Linked DNA regions of Sus scrofa. The protein of the gene in region 3 interacts with the protein of the main gene of each other region in a biochemical or structural test. Links are inferred from orthologs where the notes say so. Each region holds a gene or a part of one and is shown on either strand. Other genes may lie near its edges.

The links.
Region 1: the proteins of AP1G1 (region 3) and SYNRG form a complex in vitro, tested with the Homo sapiens proteins (2 studies listed by BioGRID). The link is inferred for Sus scrofa from reciprocal best matches to the Homo sapiens genes AP1G1 and SYNRG.
Region 2: the proteins of AP1G1 (region 3) and CLINT1 form a complex in vitro, tested with the Homo sapiens proteins (2 studies listed by BioGRID). The link is inferred for Sus scrofa from reciprocal best matches to the Homo sapiens genes AP1G1 and CLINT1.

The regions. Positions count from the first base shown.
Region 1 is NC_010454.4:39,067,042-39,071,195, reverse strand, and holds the start of SYNRG (synergin gamma), read left to right. Parts: upstream 1-1,353; 5' UTR 1,354-1,458; coding exon 1,459-1,535; intron 1,536-4,154. UniProt on the Homo sapiens protein: Plays a role in endocytosis and/or membrane trafficking at the trans-Golgi network (TGN). May act by linking the adapter protein complex AP-1 to other proteins. Component of clathrin-coated vesicles.
Region 2 is NC_010458.4:65,496,208-65,500,286, forward strand, and holds the start of CLINT1 (clathrin interactor 1), read left to right. Parts: upstream 1-1,278; 5' UTR 1,279-1,469; coding exon 1,470-1,510; intron 1,511-4,079. UniProt on the Homo sapiens protein: Binds to membranes enriched in phosphatidylinositol 4,5-bisphosphate (PtdIns(4,5)P2). May have a role in transport via clathrin-coated vesicles from the trans-Golgi network to endosomes. Stimulates clathrin assembly.
Region 3 is NC_010448.4:14,807,020-14,811,111, forward strand, and holds the start of AP1G1 (AP-1 complex subunit gamma-1), read right to left. Parts: upstream 2,803-4,092; 5' UTR 2,391-2,802; intron 1-2,390. UniProt on the Homo sapiens protein: Subunit of clathrin-associated adaptor protein complex 1 that plays a role in protein sorting in the late-Golgi/trans-Golgi network (TGN) and/or endosomes.

The DNA.
Region 1 (4,154 bases), on a different chromosome or scaffold from region 3:
GACATCCTGAGTCTTGCAGATTTAACAGTCAATAGGCAAAAGAGAACAAAGTATTCCAGGCAAAAACAGAAATTGAGTCTATGATCCTTGCTACACTCCCATCGTGTGACTTTATCATTTCTTCTTTTTTCAGTATTTTCACCTGTGTAACCACCCAGTCTTAATTAAAAGTCACTAATAATCGAGTTCCCTGGTGTCTCTGGGTTAAGGATCCAGCATTGTCACTGCTGTAGCTCTTGGTAGGAAATTAGGGCAGGTTTAATACCTGGTGTCCAAACTTTCACATGCTGCAGGTGCAGCCAAAAAAAAGTGGCTAAATCTGTATCAATTTGGTCTGTCATTGGATTAATACTGAATTTAGTTATATATATCAGTCTATATCAATTGGAACATCTGCTACACAATTCCATCTAAAGAAGGGGATGAATGAAATTAGTGGACAATTATAGGGGGAAAAAATTGCTGGATGTAGTTGAAATGAGCAAGGACTTTGAAGTCAAACACCTAGATTTGAATCCTGGTCCTCTTGCTTTGCAGCTGTGTGATCTAGGAAAATTACAACTTTTTACCTTGGGTTTTTTGGTTTTTTTTTTAATCTGTAAAATGCCAATACTGCTTAGAGACACTGAGGGTTTGAAAAAATACAATAAAGTCACTGACCAGTCTTTTGTACCAATAAAGGATAACAATTATTACAAATTGTTTCCCTGCAAAAGCCCTGAGCCAATTATAATCTTGCTAGTCAGCAAACTACTTGAAGGCTCGAAAAACTTTACATTCAACTTTTATATTTACTTAGAGTAGTCTGACTAGAAAAATACATCACAAAGTACGCCCAGATAGGTTCAGAGCAATGAATCTTCCCAAACACTACTGTTTTGTCCCTGATTGTAGGTATGGGAAAAACAGGGACTACCAGGTGGCTGAATACCTTCAGCTTTTAGGGCGGGTACCAGAAGGAAGCTGCCAAATTGAAAGGAAAAAGTAGAGCTCATCATTAATCGGCGCTGTGAAGCTATCAAAGGGACTCATCTACTCTTTGTGTAAAGAGTAACGAACAATAAAAGAACACCCGTGTACCCACTATCCAGTTTAAAAAATAGGATTCAATCTACTCTTTCCGCTAATCAAGATGATAGTTTTTCAAACCGGGAAAAGATGACGCCTTGCCGCCCTGCCTCCAGCTGGACCTTCCACAGAGCCTTGCCAGAAAATGAATCAGCTCCCCTGGATCCAGCCCCAGAACTAGAATTGCACCTGGAGGACCCCCAGCGGGGCGGAGTCACGTGATGAGAGCGCGCGGCTCCTCCCCCAGCGCTGAGAGGTCACGTGGGCGCGTGGCCCCACCCCGTCGCCCAGGCCGCGGCGAGGTGGGGCCCGGCGTTTGCCCCGGAAGTGGCTGTCTGGAGCTGACAGCTGCTGAGAAGGTGGCGGCAGCGGCGGCCGGCCAGGAGCAAGATGGCGCTGCGGCCAGGAACGGGAGCTGGCGGCAGCGGGGCCGCGGGAGCTGGCGCGGGGGCCGCCGGCGGAGGCAGGTGGGTGTGAAGAACAAGGCCTGGACGCGCCCCTCCGGGCTTCACCGCGCTCCCGAAACGCAGGGCTGGCCCTGCACCTGCGACGGGTGGTCGGCGGTTATGGCAGTTTTCGCCCGCGCCGACCCCTTTCCCTTAGAACTGGGATGCAGGTCGTCCTCCGGGGACCTAGGCCGAAGAGGCTGATAGAGCCCGGGCGCCTGCCTCCGGGGCTCCGGGCTCGAGGGCACTGGCCGCTGAGGCCGAGTGGGGAGGGAAGAAGGAGGTGAGGCTGGCACCTGGCGGGCTGGGTAAAGAAGGAACCCAGCGCCTCTCTTCTTGCCCTGGCTGGGTCTGAAGCAACCAGAGATTTCCCTTTCCCAGAGCTTTACCAGGGGCTCTGAAAAAAATCTGTTACAGAGCATACAAGTGTTTCCAAGATGTTACATGTTTGAGTGTTGTGTGTGTATATGTACTATTTGTCTTTTCTTCTTTAAGAGCGTCTTGTCCTTTTTGTTTCCCTAACACACGGGAAAATGTAGGAAAATCTAAAGACCTTTGAATTCGTAAATAGAGCTCTTGTAGAGCTAACTCTTAGCACTTGTCTCCTTATTAAAAAGCCAGTCACTGTTAAACAGCATGTACGCAGTTATCAGAACAAAGCTTCCAGACTTAGCCCTTAAACACATTTGTTCTCTGTCACATTCAGCTGCTAATTGCCCATGGTTCTGTATCCAGAACGTTTGCAACTTGACAGGTTCATCATTTAAGGAAAAACTTGATTCTGGGAAGTTTCCATCCCACTTCTGTAATGACCTACTCTGACTTTGTTTTGCTAACCAACCCGAGGTTCTCATACACGTTTGGAGATAAATTTAGCTTTCTATCTTCATCCTAAATTATTTTTGGAAAACAAAGTGTGAGGGTTTTGATATGCAGTGTTTGAATTTTGGACTTAGGAACATTACGTTGTGAAGTCTTTCAAGTTATCACCTCCTGCCCGGAAAAAAGAGCAGTAGCTGTTCAATAAACCACCTGTGTGCAACTGCATTGTTATTTTCTCTATACATCTTTCATTTTAGATTTAAAGCTGTATTCTTTCTCTTTTGTTTTCTGATTGCCACTCTTTCACTGGGGTTTTTCATGGATACTTGATATAAGTCTATTTTTGGCTGGAGAAGACAAATATGTAATAATTATTTCTGTCCTAAATGTGAAGACAGTTTCTAAAATGTTCTTGAGTGGCATTAATTTTAATCAAGTATATGATAAATAACAGCATCAAGTTCTGGGGAAATGTGAATTTAAAAGAATTTGGTATTCCAGGCAAGGTTTTGGGGGATTTTGTTGTTTGGGATTTGGGTTGGGGTTCTTTAGGGGTTTTGTTTGTTTGTTTTTTTGGTTTTTTTCAGATGAGGAGGACCTTGGGTATAGAAAGTTAAGTGGATCATTCCCCTTAGTTTGTAGTATTTTAATATCATTGGTCCATTTTTGGCCCAGCATCATTGAAACACATTTTTTGTAAATATGGCCTGAATTGTGATACATGTTAGAAGGATTGACTTCAGATTTTCTTTTCTCTTTAAATTCTGGTTGTAGTAATTTTGCATTCTTAAACTGGAGAGCAAGTCATTCTTACCTTGAAAAATGTGTGGTAAATATTATATTGGAAACTTTCTGAGGCTGGAGAAGCTGAATGCTTAATAAAGAATATGAGGAGTTCCCAGGTGTTAGGGAACTAACCTGTTAGCTGGTTAAGGATCCAGCATTGCCCCAGCTGCGGCTCAGATTCGATCACTGGCTCAGGAACTTCCATATGCCACGAGTGTGGCCATAAATTTTTTTTTAAAAAGAAATAATAGAGTTTTAGAGAGCAGTGGTGAGGGCTGATGTTATTTTGTGAGGAAGCTAACATTATGATTGGTACCCTAAGGATATTTTAGGGGGAAAGAAAAAGAACAGGGCAACCTCTCTCAGCTTTTAATGGAGGAAATCCATGAACTATAATTTACCACATTTCTTAGGCACTTGTTTCTGTTCAAAGAAGCGAAGCAAAAAGCCTTAGCATTTTCTAACCTTATTAATATTAGCCAGCTTTGATTGGTATCCTGAATAGGCCACTTTAGAATAAATAGTTATATAGGGCAAAATTTATCCAAGAGATGAGAAGTAGAATTTTTTTTTTTTTTTAATTTATTCATTTTTTGTCTTTTTGCCTTTTCTTGGGCCACTCCCAAATGGAGGTTCCCAGGCTAGGGGTCAAATCGGAGCTGTTGCTGCCAGCCTACGCCAGAGCCACAGCAACGAGGGATCTGAGCCACATCTTCGACCTACACTACAGCTCACGGCAATGCCGGATCCTTAACCCACTGAACAAGGCCAGGGATTGAACCCGAAACCTCATGGTTCCTAGTCGGATTCGTTAACCACCGAGTCACGACAGGAACGCCCATATTTTTTTTTTAAGTCAGGTATGGCAGGAAAAAAGAGTTTAAAGATTTTGATTAGTCTGTATCCTACTGGGATAGTATCTTTTGTGAGCTTGTCTATTTCTTTCCTCTTTTTTTTTATAAATTGCTTAAAGGCCTCCTCATCTTTTGCTCTTCCACTGCTTCTGGCACATTCTACACATAGAAAACATTC
Region 2 (4,079 bases), on a different chromosome or scaffold from region 3:
GTTAGACCCCTGGCCTCTCTCAGTGGGTTAAGAATCCAGTGTTGCCACAAGCTGCAGCTTAGGTCGCAGATGAGACTCAGACCCGCTGATAATGTGCCTGTGGCGCAGGCCAGCAGCTGCAGCTACGAGGGGACCCTTAGCCTGGGAACTTTCACATGCCACAGTTTTGGCCGTAAAAAGAAAAAAATGTACAATGAAAAGAACTGTAAAGTTTAATTAGTTGGACCACAGGAACTTCAAAGTTGCCCAACTCAAAAATGAGTCAAGAGGAGTTCCCGTCGTGGCGCAGTGGTTAACGAATCCGAATAGGAACCATGAGGTTGCGGGTTCAGTCCCTGCCCTTGCTCAGTGGGTTAACGATCCGGCGTTGCCGTGAGCTGTGGTGTAGGTTGCAGACGCGGCTCGGATCCTGCGTTGCTGTGGCTCTGGCGTAGGCGGGTGGCTACAGCTCCGATTCAACCCCTAGCCTGGGAACCTCCATATGCCGCGGGAGTGGCCCAAGAAATAGCAACAACAACAACAATAACAACAACAACAAAAGACAAAAAAAAAAAAAAAAAGAGTCAAGAGAAAAATGAAGTGACAACTATTGCAATAAAACACTGAATGTGGTAAGAATATTCACCTGACAAGTTCTTGGGCCTGTCATAAGTATTGTGCTGCTGTTTTTCTACAATTTCCCATGGAATGTGAACTGAGTTTCCGAGCTTTATAATAAAGTAACAAGGATAGCAGGTAGTTGCCTAAATATCAAAGCACTGTGTCAAAGAGTGGAAAAAGTTTTGAAACACAACCTATTCAATTTACAAGGATGGAAAAAGTTTTGAAACACAACCTATTCAATTTACAAGGATGGAAATTAAAGCCCAGAGAAGGAAGTATATTTAGACATTTGGAACCAAATACAGAGTAGCTTCTGCAAATGAGTAATACATAGGCCAATCACACTTCCTTATAATCATTATTAACATAATAATACCTTATGTTTGAAAAGCAAGTTTGAGTGTGGCAAGATTCTACACCCCTGGTTCTGAAACGTGAGCATGGAGGATTTGTTAAAGTACAGAGTGCCGAGCCCCACCCCCAGAGTTTGAGATTCTGTGGCTCAGGGGGCTCGGGAGGGGCACGGAGAACCCCGAGAGCTTAAGAGGAAGCACACTAACCTTACCTCTCCAACTCTCCCTGTTTAACTGTCCCGCTTGGCGCGCAGAGAGAACTACAAGTCCCAGCGTGCCCTGCGCGCAGCCGGCGGAAAGGCAGGCACTTCCGCTCCACGCAGCGCCTCTGCCCCCGCGTCTCGACGTGTCACTGGCGGCGCCGCGGCTGTGGCAAGAGAAGGAGCTGACTGGGGGAGTTTGAGGCGGCGGGCGGCGGCAGCGACCCAGGCCTGGATCAGCCCCGACGCGGAAGTGTTCCGGGGTCCGTGGGGAGCAGGAGAGGGGGTAGCGGCCCGGCCCGCTCGGGGCACGATGTTGAACATGTGGAAAGTGCGGGAGCTGGTGGACAAAGCGTGAGTATCGGGGGGCAGTTGTGGCCCAGGCCCACGCGGGAGAAGGGGGTGGGTGGGAAGGAGCCGGCCCTGCGCGCGGGGCCGCCAGCGTCACGCCCCCCGGCTGGTTGGCCCCATCATGGCGGCGACCGGTTGTCTCCCCGGCCCCGGGCCGCGTCCCAGTCCGCGAGTCTGGGAAGGGACCCTTCCTCTTTGGAAACATCCTCTTAGCCGCATTCTCTCCTGCCCAGGCGTTCCTCACCCTGTCCCTACCCTCACCCTTCCAGCTATAAACGCTTTAGTCAGGGGGGTGAGCAGGGTTGTCTTGAGCTGGGTCGCTGCCCTGGCCGGAGAGCTCTCTTGGCTGCGGGCTTTGGGCTTTGCTTCTTGGGCAGCAGCGAACGCTTGGGGTTAGGGGACCTAGTTCACGGGTTCTCTGCGCCCCTCATTGTGGTGCGGAGACCTTAGGTTTGGTCACGATGTGTCCTTTACCTTGCTGGGTTTCTTTTAATCCTTAATGAACCTGGTGTGTTGGAGTGGGTGGTAGGTGTAACAAGTGGCCGTTGTGGTCAGACTGAAGTTACTCAAGAGGCGACTCATCCTTTGCTTGTCTAATACGAGTGAGAGTAGATCACCACATAACTTACTGTGATTCTTTCTTTCTGATCCTTTTCCCCTACACTTCATTTCCCCTCAAGAAGAAAGCAACCCAGGTTTATATCCTGTTGATCCACTTTTAACTCCCCTGACAGGTAAAATGACTAATACATAGTTGATTTTTTTCTTTAAAACTTAAGTGATAACTTTAGTGTCTTACTACCACTAGGGAAACCTTAACACTTAAAGTGAATATATTACAGTGATGTAACAGGGGTTAAGTAAGATCTTCTAGGCCAGCAGGAAATAAAGTTTAGGAATTTAACCAGTCCCCTTCCTTTTGGGTTTTAGTGATGATGCAATAAGTGTGGTGACAAAAACAGTTCATTTGTGCTGCTCACCCAACCTAAAATCAGAAAGTGTAGATGGCAAATTCTTGAGGCTTTCGTGACACCAGAAGAAAATAATTCATTAAGAGGTATAAACTACTAGGTATAAAATAAATTAGATCCAGGAATGTAATGTACAGCATAGGGAATGTAGTCAGTATTTTATAATAACTTTCAAAGGAGTATAATAGAAAAATGTCAAATGATTGTGTTGTACACCTAAAAGTAATATTTTAAATCAACTATACTTCAACTTTAAAAAAAAATTCACAGTGGTTTGGATAGTGCATCAGATAGGATTTAGAATTTGACTATATTTTCAGATTTTCTATGCTACCAAGAAGGTAGTAGAGTGCCTAAGGAGTACAGGTTTTTGAACCTGCAGAGCTGGATTCAAGCTCTGTAACCTTGACAGATTAATTCATCTTTAAGTGCCCCAGTTTTCTCAGGTACATTATGAAAATAATGATAGACACTTACCTTAGAATGTTAATGAGAATTCAGGGCTAAGGGCTTAGATAGCATATAAAGCCCTTAATACAATATGTTTAGATCTGTATGCTTTTGATAATCATAGTCAGTGTTCTGCATCAAGAGTAAGGCTAAACTTCGTTAAGAGAGAAACTCCACGTTTGAAAAGTGATTTGCTGATTTTCCTTTATAAACTGTTCATTTGATCATTAAGCTCTCAATCCTTTATTTTGGATGTTTTGTTATTTATATACCTTTTGCTTTCCAAAGATAAAATAAAATCATAGTTCTTTTCCAGATGCAAGTTCGTTGGTTATTTTTTAATATACGGTAGAAAGACTGGGATACCAGCTAAAATAATCTTTAAAAGTGCAAAAGTCTCTGCAGAACTACCTCTTTATATCTTAGCCCGAGGACAGAAGCAGAAAAACAATTTAAAAAAACCTTGTTATCTTAGGAGACTAAATTTCTGGTACTTAAAAATTTGAAGAGACTACATTTTCAAGAGACAAATCAAGGCAATATTCTTGCTCTTGTTCATTTCATAGTGTCTGTATCACCTTTGTTACTAATCTTCAAATTAAATTTGTCATGTAAGTAGTCACCAAGTCATCTAAGGGGAGAGCCCGTTGTGAAAAATAACTTGTCTTCCATTTTACTACCCAATTTAGAATGGAGACCTGAACCAAGTTATTCAATAACATGTAAGAATGTTGCCACCAAGGACTTTTTAAAGCTTTCGTGGGTGTCTGACACATGATATTAGGATTAGAACGTGAGGTTATTTTACTGAGACATACTCAAAATTTAATTTTCATCTTTCCCTGGCAAGAGAAAACAAATTCTTCTTCCCAAATGTAAGCCTTTTACAGAACCAGTAACTGTAGCACTATGTCCAGTTAGACAGTTCACCTTAAATTACCGTAATGGAGGTGGAAGCAGATCCATAGAATGGCTCTTCTGATTATCAAAGGAATAAGGTGATGAGGAAGCTAGGAAATGAGGAAACAGAGAAGTGATTAAGGACTGCTCTGAGAGCTTGGTTGAATAGAAATGAGGGTTTGGATGAAGAACACTGGTTAAAAGTTTGGGAGACCTAGGTTCAGATTCTGATACTGCCTTTTAAATTAGCC
Region 3 (4,092 bases):
TTAAATCCTGCTATATACATAAAATTTTTAAATCCTCAGCAAATGCAAATACGGGGATTAAGCACGCTGAAATCTGTTCTGGTATGTAGTTTTCCAATTCAATTTTTTTAATTAAAAAATAATATTTTGGAAAATATTCGTTCAACTTTTTCAATTTGTATAGAGTCCTTACAAATCACAAAAAAAGTGAGTGTTTGTACATGATTGATTTCAAGACTTTAAAAATAAATAGTGGAATTAAGTATCACAAAGGCACTGCTGACAATTTTTGTACTTTATAGTTTCACTCTAAAATACACCTCCAAATCTAGAACTCCTGTCAGTGAAACAGATTAGAGAACAGCAATTGCTTCCAAAAGAAAATAAATTGAGGTTTCCTAAATGATGTTAATTTCAAGTACAATCTCAACCTCTTTAGACAAAGTAGATACTCAAGTCTGTGCTAATCAATCGATGGTGTTTTGCTTATCATTTGCAAAGCAAAAGGACACTTTCTCCAACTGAACACAAACCACCTAAGAATGAATGGTATTTAAATACCAGTACACAATTCCATGAAATAAACCGAGTAAATAATACCTATGTGATAGTTCTTCCAATACCTTGTTTTTAAAGTGGAACTCAAAAATGGAATATGTCAGTAGCAACTACAAGAGGATACTTAGTAAATGAGTGAGGATTCCATCTATGTTCTGTTTGACAGTTCTTTCAAGGAAAAGAGAAACTCCACAGCTTCAGAGTAAATACACAAATAGTAACTAATGTATTTTTGTAAAGTCTCCTTATAACAAATAACAAAAACACTATTTACAATGAAAACATTCACTCTTCTGAAAACATGACTAGCAGCGGAATTTATCTACCTGATAATAACCTGAGGATAAGAATAATACACTTATAAATGGATTAGAAGTACTAAAAAATCTGACCCAGTTCAAGTTATAAATCTAAGTTTAAATCACTAGGCTACAATTTCAAGTCAGTTATTATTCTTTTGCAGATGTAAAAATCCAGGCTGAGATGAAATACAAGTGACTCAATAACACTCACCTAACTTGAAATGTAGGAAATAATCAGTGAATTACTGTGAAATGCCTTTTATTCAAGCACGCTATAATATAAACATGTTAAGAGCAAAATAAAAGTAAGATTATGGGTATCTGGGGAGTCTATATTTTTAAACCAAAAAAGTTAAGGTGTATACAGTCTGACAAGTATTATGGGGAATAATGAAAGCGGATATTTAAAATCCAACTATCCCCAGAAAAATACAATACACGAAATTAATCCAAGTACTTTTTTAGAATCAGCCAACAAAGAACATTACTGTACAAACCAACTGAAAGTTAAGGTCACTAAGATATGTTCATTCACTCCTCTCTTCTGTTAAGCAATGCCCAGAGCAGCCGAAAAAGTTACTTTCCTTTCTATCTATGTCAGATTGAAATTCTTTTTCACAGGTAGATTTTCATAGGCAATGATATACACCATACATAAATATCAAAAAGTACCCAAAAGTTAAGTGTTCAGCATGGGAAGGGAACCCCACAAATGCGAAAACATTTGACAGCCTCTCCCTACCACCTCCTCTCCGCAAAGCCGTTTCATTAGCTTTACAAATATTTACACTCTGAGCGAGTGGTTCGACCCGTCTCCTACAACAAAACCCTAACAGGGAAACACAACCAACCGTCCTGACTCTCCCCAACAGTTAAGAAGACCGAGAGAATTATTAGTAGTTGACACCTACAGGATCAGGAGTTTGAGAGAAGATAAGCAGTGTATTGGCAGATGAGTTTAAGAAAAAAAGAAAATGAAAAAGAAACACCCGGAAAACTGGGAAAGAAGTTGGTAGGAAGGTTAGAGAGAGGCGAGGCCAATGTCCGGTTCTAAGAGAACAGCAATGCAGGTGCAGACAGCGACTAACGAAGCATTTGGAAACGCCGATGAGAGTTCTACGAAAGACCTGACAAGGGTACAAGATACAAGAACGCTGATACGTGGCACAGAGAAGACACGCGGGGGTGGGACCCGCCCGAGGTGGGACCCGCCCCGCTAACCCTAGGCTTTCTGAATGAGCCCTCAAAGAAGGATCTCAGCCTGAGAAAGTCAATGGGTTCAAGAAGGCCCACACCAGCCGGGCAACGCCGCAGCACGGAAGGCGGCCGCGCGCAGAGCCTCCCGGTCCGAGGCCTCGGGGTCGGCCCTCAAGAAGTCGAGGAGCTCCTGGGGCTCCGGGCCCCTACAGGCTCAGCCTCCGTCCTCTCTTCTCACCCCCCACGGCCTGGGACCGGACCCCTAGAATTGACAGGAAGTCTCCGGCCGAGCGCTCTTGACAGGCACTGGGCAAAAAAAAGCAGTATGCTCTTAGCGCCACGAGTGACACTCACCGGCCCGAAACCTCGAATGAAACCAGCAGCTTCGGGGGCGGCGGCAGCAGTGGCAGCAGGAACCGAACATCCAAAATGGCGGCTCCCTCAGCCTCACCACCGCTACTGCAGGCGGAAGGATTCTTAGGAGGGAGGGAGTTTTTTTTAACTAACTTCGCACACTATCGCAGAAACTTCAGTCCCTAGCTCCCTCTGCTTGTTGATCCCTTGTCCCCTGGCTGCAATTTCTCGTGCCTCCCCCCTCTTATTATCCAGGAACTCGGACCCCACCGAGGACTATTTGCCAAGGAGGAGGTGACTGCTCTGGCAGAGCGACGCAAAGCGTAGCAAAATTCGGGGCTGTCACTGATGACGCGAGACGCTGCTGCCGAGTCACCGCTGCGAAGAGTAGGAGCAAGAAAGATCCGGTCGACCCCGGGGCCCAGGGACATTGGTTCCGCTTGGGGTAGGGGGTGGGGAAGCTGGGCTACCAGGAAGTGGCGGGGCCACCTGAAGAGGGTGGGGCTTGCAAGGTAGCGGAGGAAGTGGAGAGCCGAGGCAGGTGGGGGCGGAGAACTCTGAGCTAGGCTAAGTGGGTCCTATGCCATGAGAACCCTAGATTCTTTTCCTATCTTCTTTGAGACCTTAGCATTCTCTTTAGGTTTAATTTCAGAAACATACTCCAAGTGATCTTGGACTCTGAGGTTTTATGGCACCTTGGAACGTATTTTGTGAAAATAGAGTTAGAAGGAGTTCCCGTTGTGGCTCAGCGGGTTGTGAACCCGACTAGAGTCCATGAGGATATGAGTGGGTTAAGTATCCGGAGTTGCCATGAGCTGTGGTGTACTCTGCAGACGCGGCTGGGATCCTTCCTTGCTGTCTGTGGCTGTGGCTTAGACCAGTAGCTCAGATTGGACCCCTAGCCTTGGAACTTCCATATGCCACATATGCGGCCCTAAAAAGCAAAAAAAAAAAACAAAAAAAAAAAAAAGCAGAAGACACAGAAGAACAGATTCCAACCCCAGTATCATCTCTCAACCTCCTGCATTGAACAAGACATTTAAAGTCTCTGGGACTCAGTTTTCTCATGTAAAAAAAGAGGATTTGGACTATCGATAGCTAAAACCTTTCAGAGTGTGCCTTCTCACTGACTCCATGCCATGATGACCTGCGCCAAAGACAGGCCAACTATACAGGCCAACCTGAGGCATCAGCCAGGTCCTGGCTTGATAAATAATTACTAACACCTTACACGAATATTTTCCACGTGCACATAAAGACTACCATGATATCTTGGCCTGTTTAAAGGAAAGGTGACCTATCTAAACTAAAATCATTCAGGTAGAATGGCAATAGAATATCCCCAAAAGTGAACAAAGCACAGCACCTAGCTAGATGACAAAGAGCTGAATCAACCACAAACCTTGAGTTTAGGACCTGTCATAGACAGGAGGTTTTTTTCCTTAGCCATTTTCAGGAAGGGATTTCAAAGCATTTTACAAAAATTGAGTAGGGCCACCTTACAATTTTGCTCTTGAACAATTGGGGCATGCCAAGGCTGGAAAGAAAGGAGACCAAGAGTGTAATAATAGTAACATCATTTTTATTAAATATTGATATTGCATTGTATATAATAAGTTCTTCATATATATAATTTAATTTGACCCACATGACCACCTCCTGAGTCGGACTAGCTTAGTTTTAGGAGTTCCCATTGTGGCTC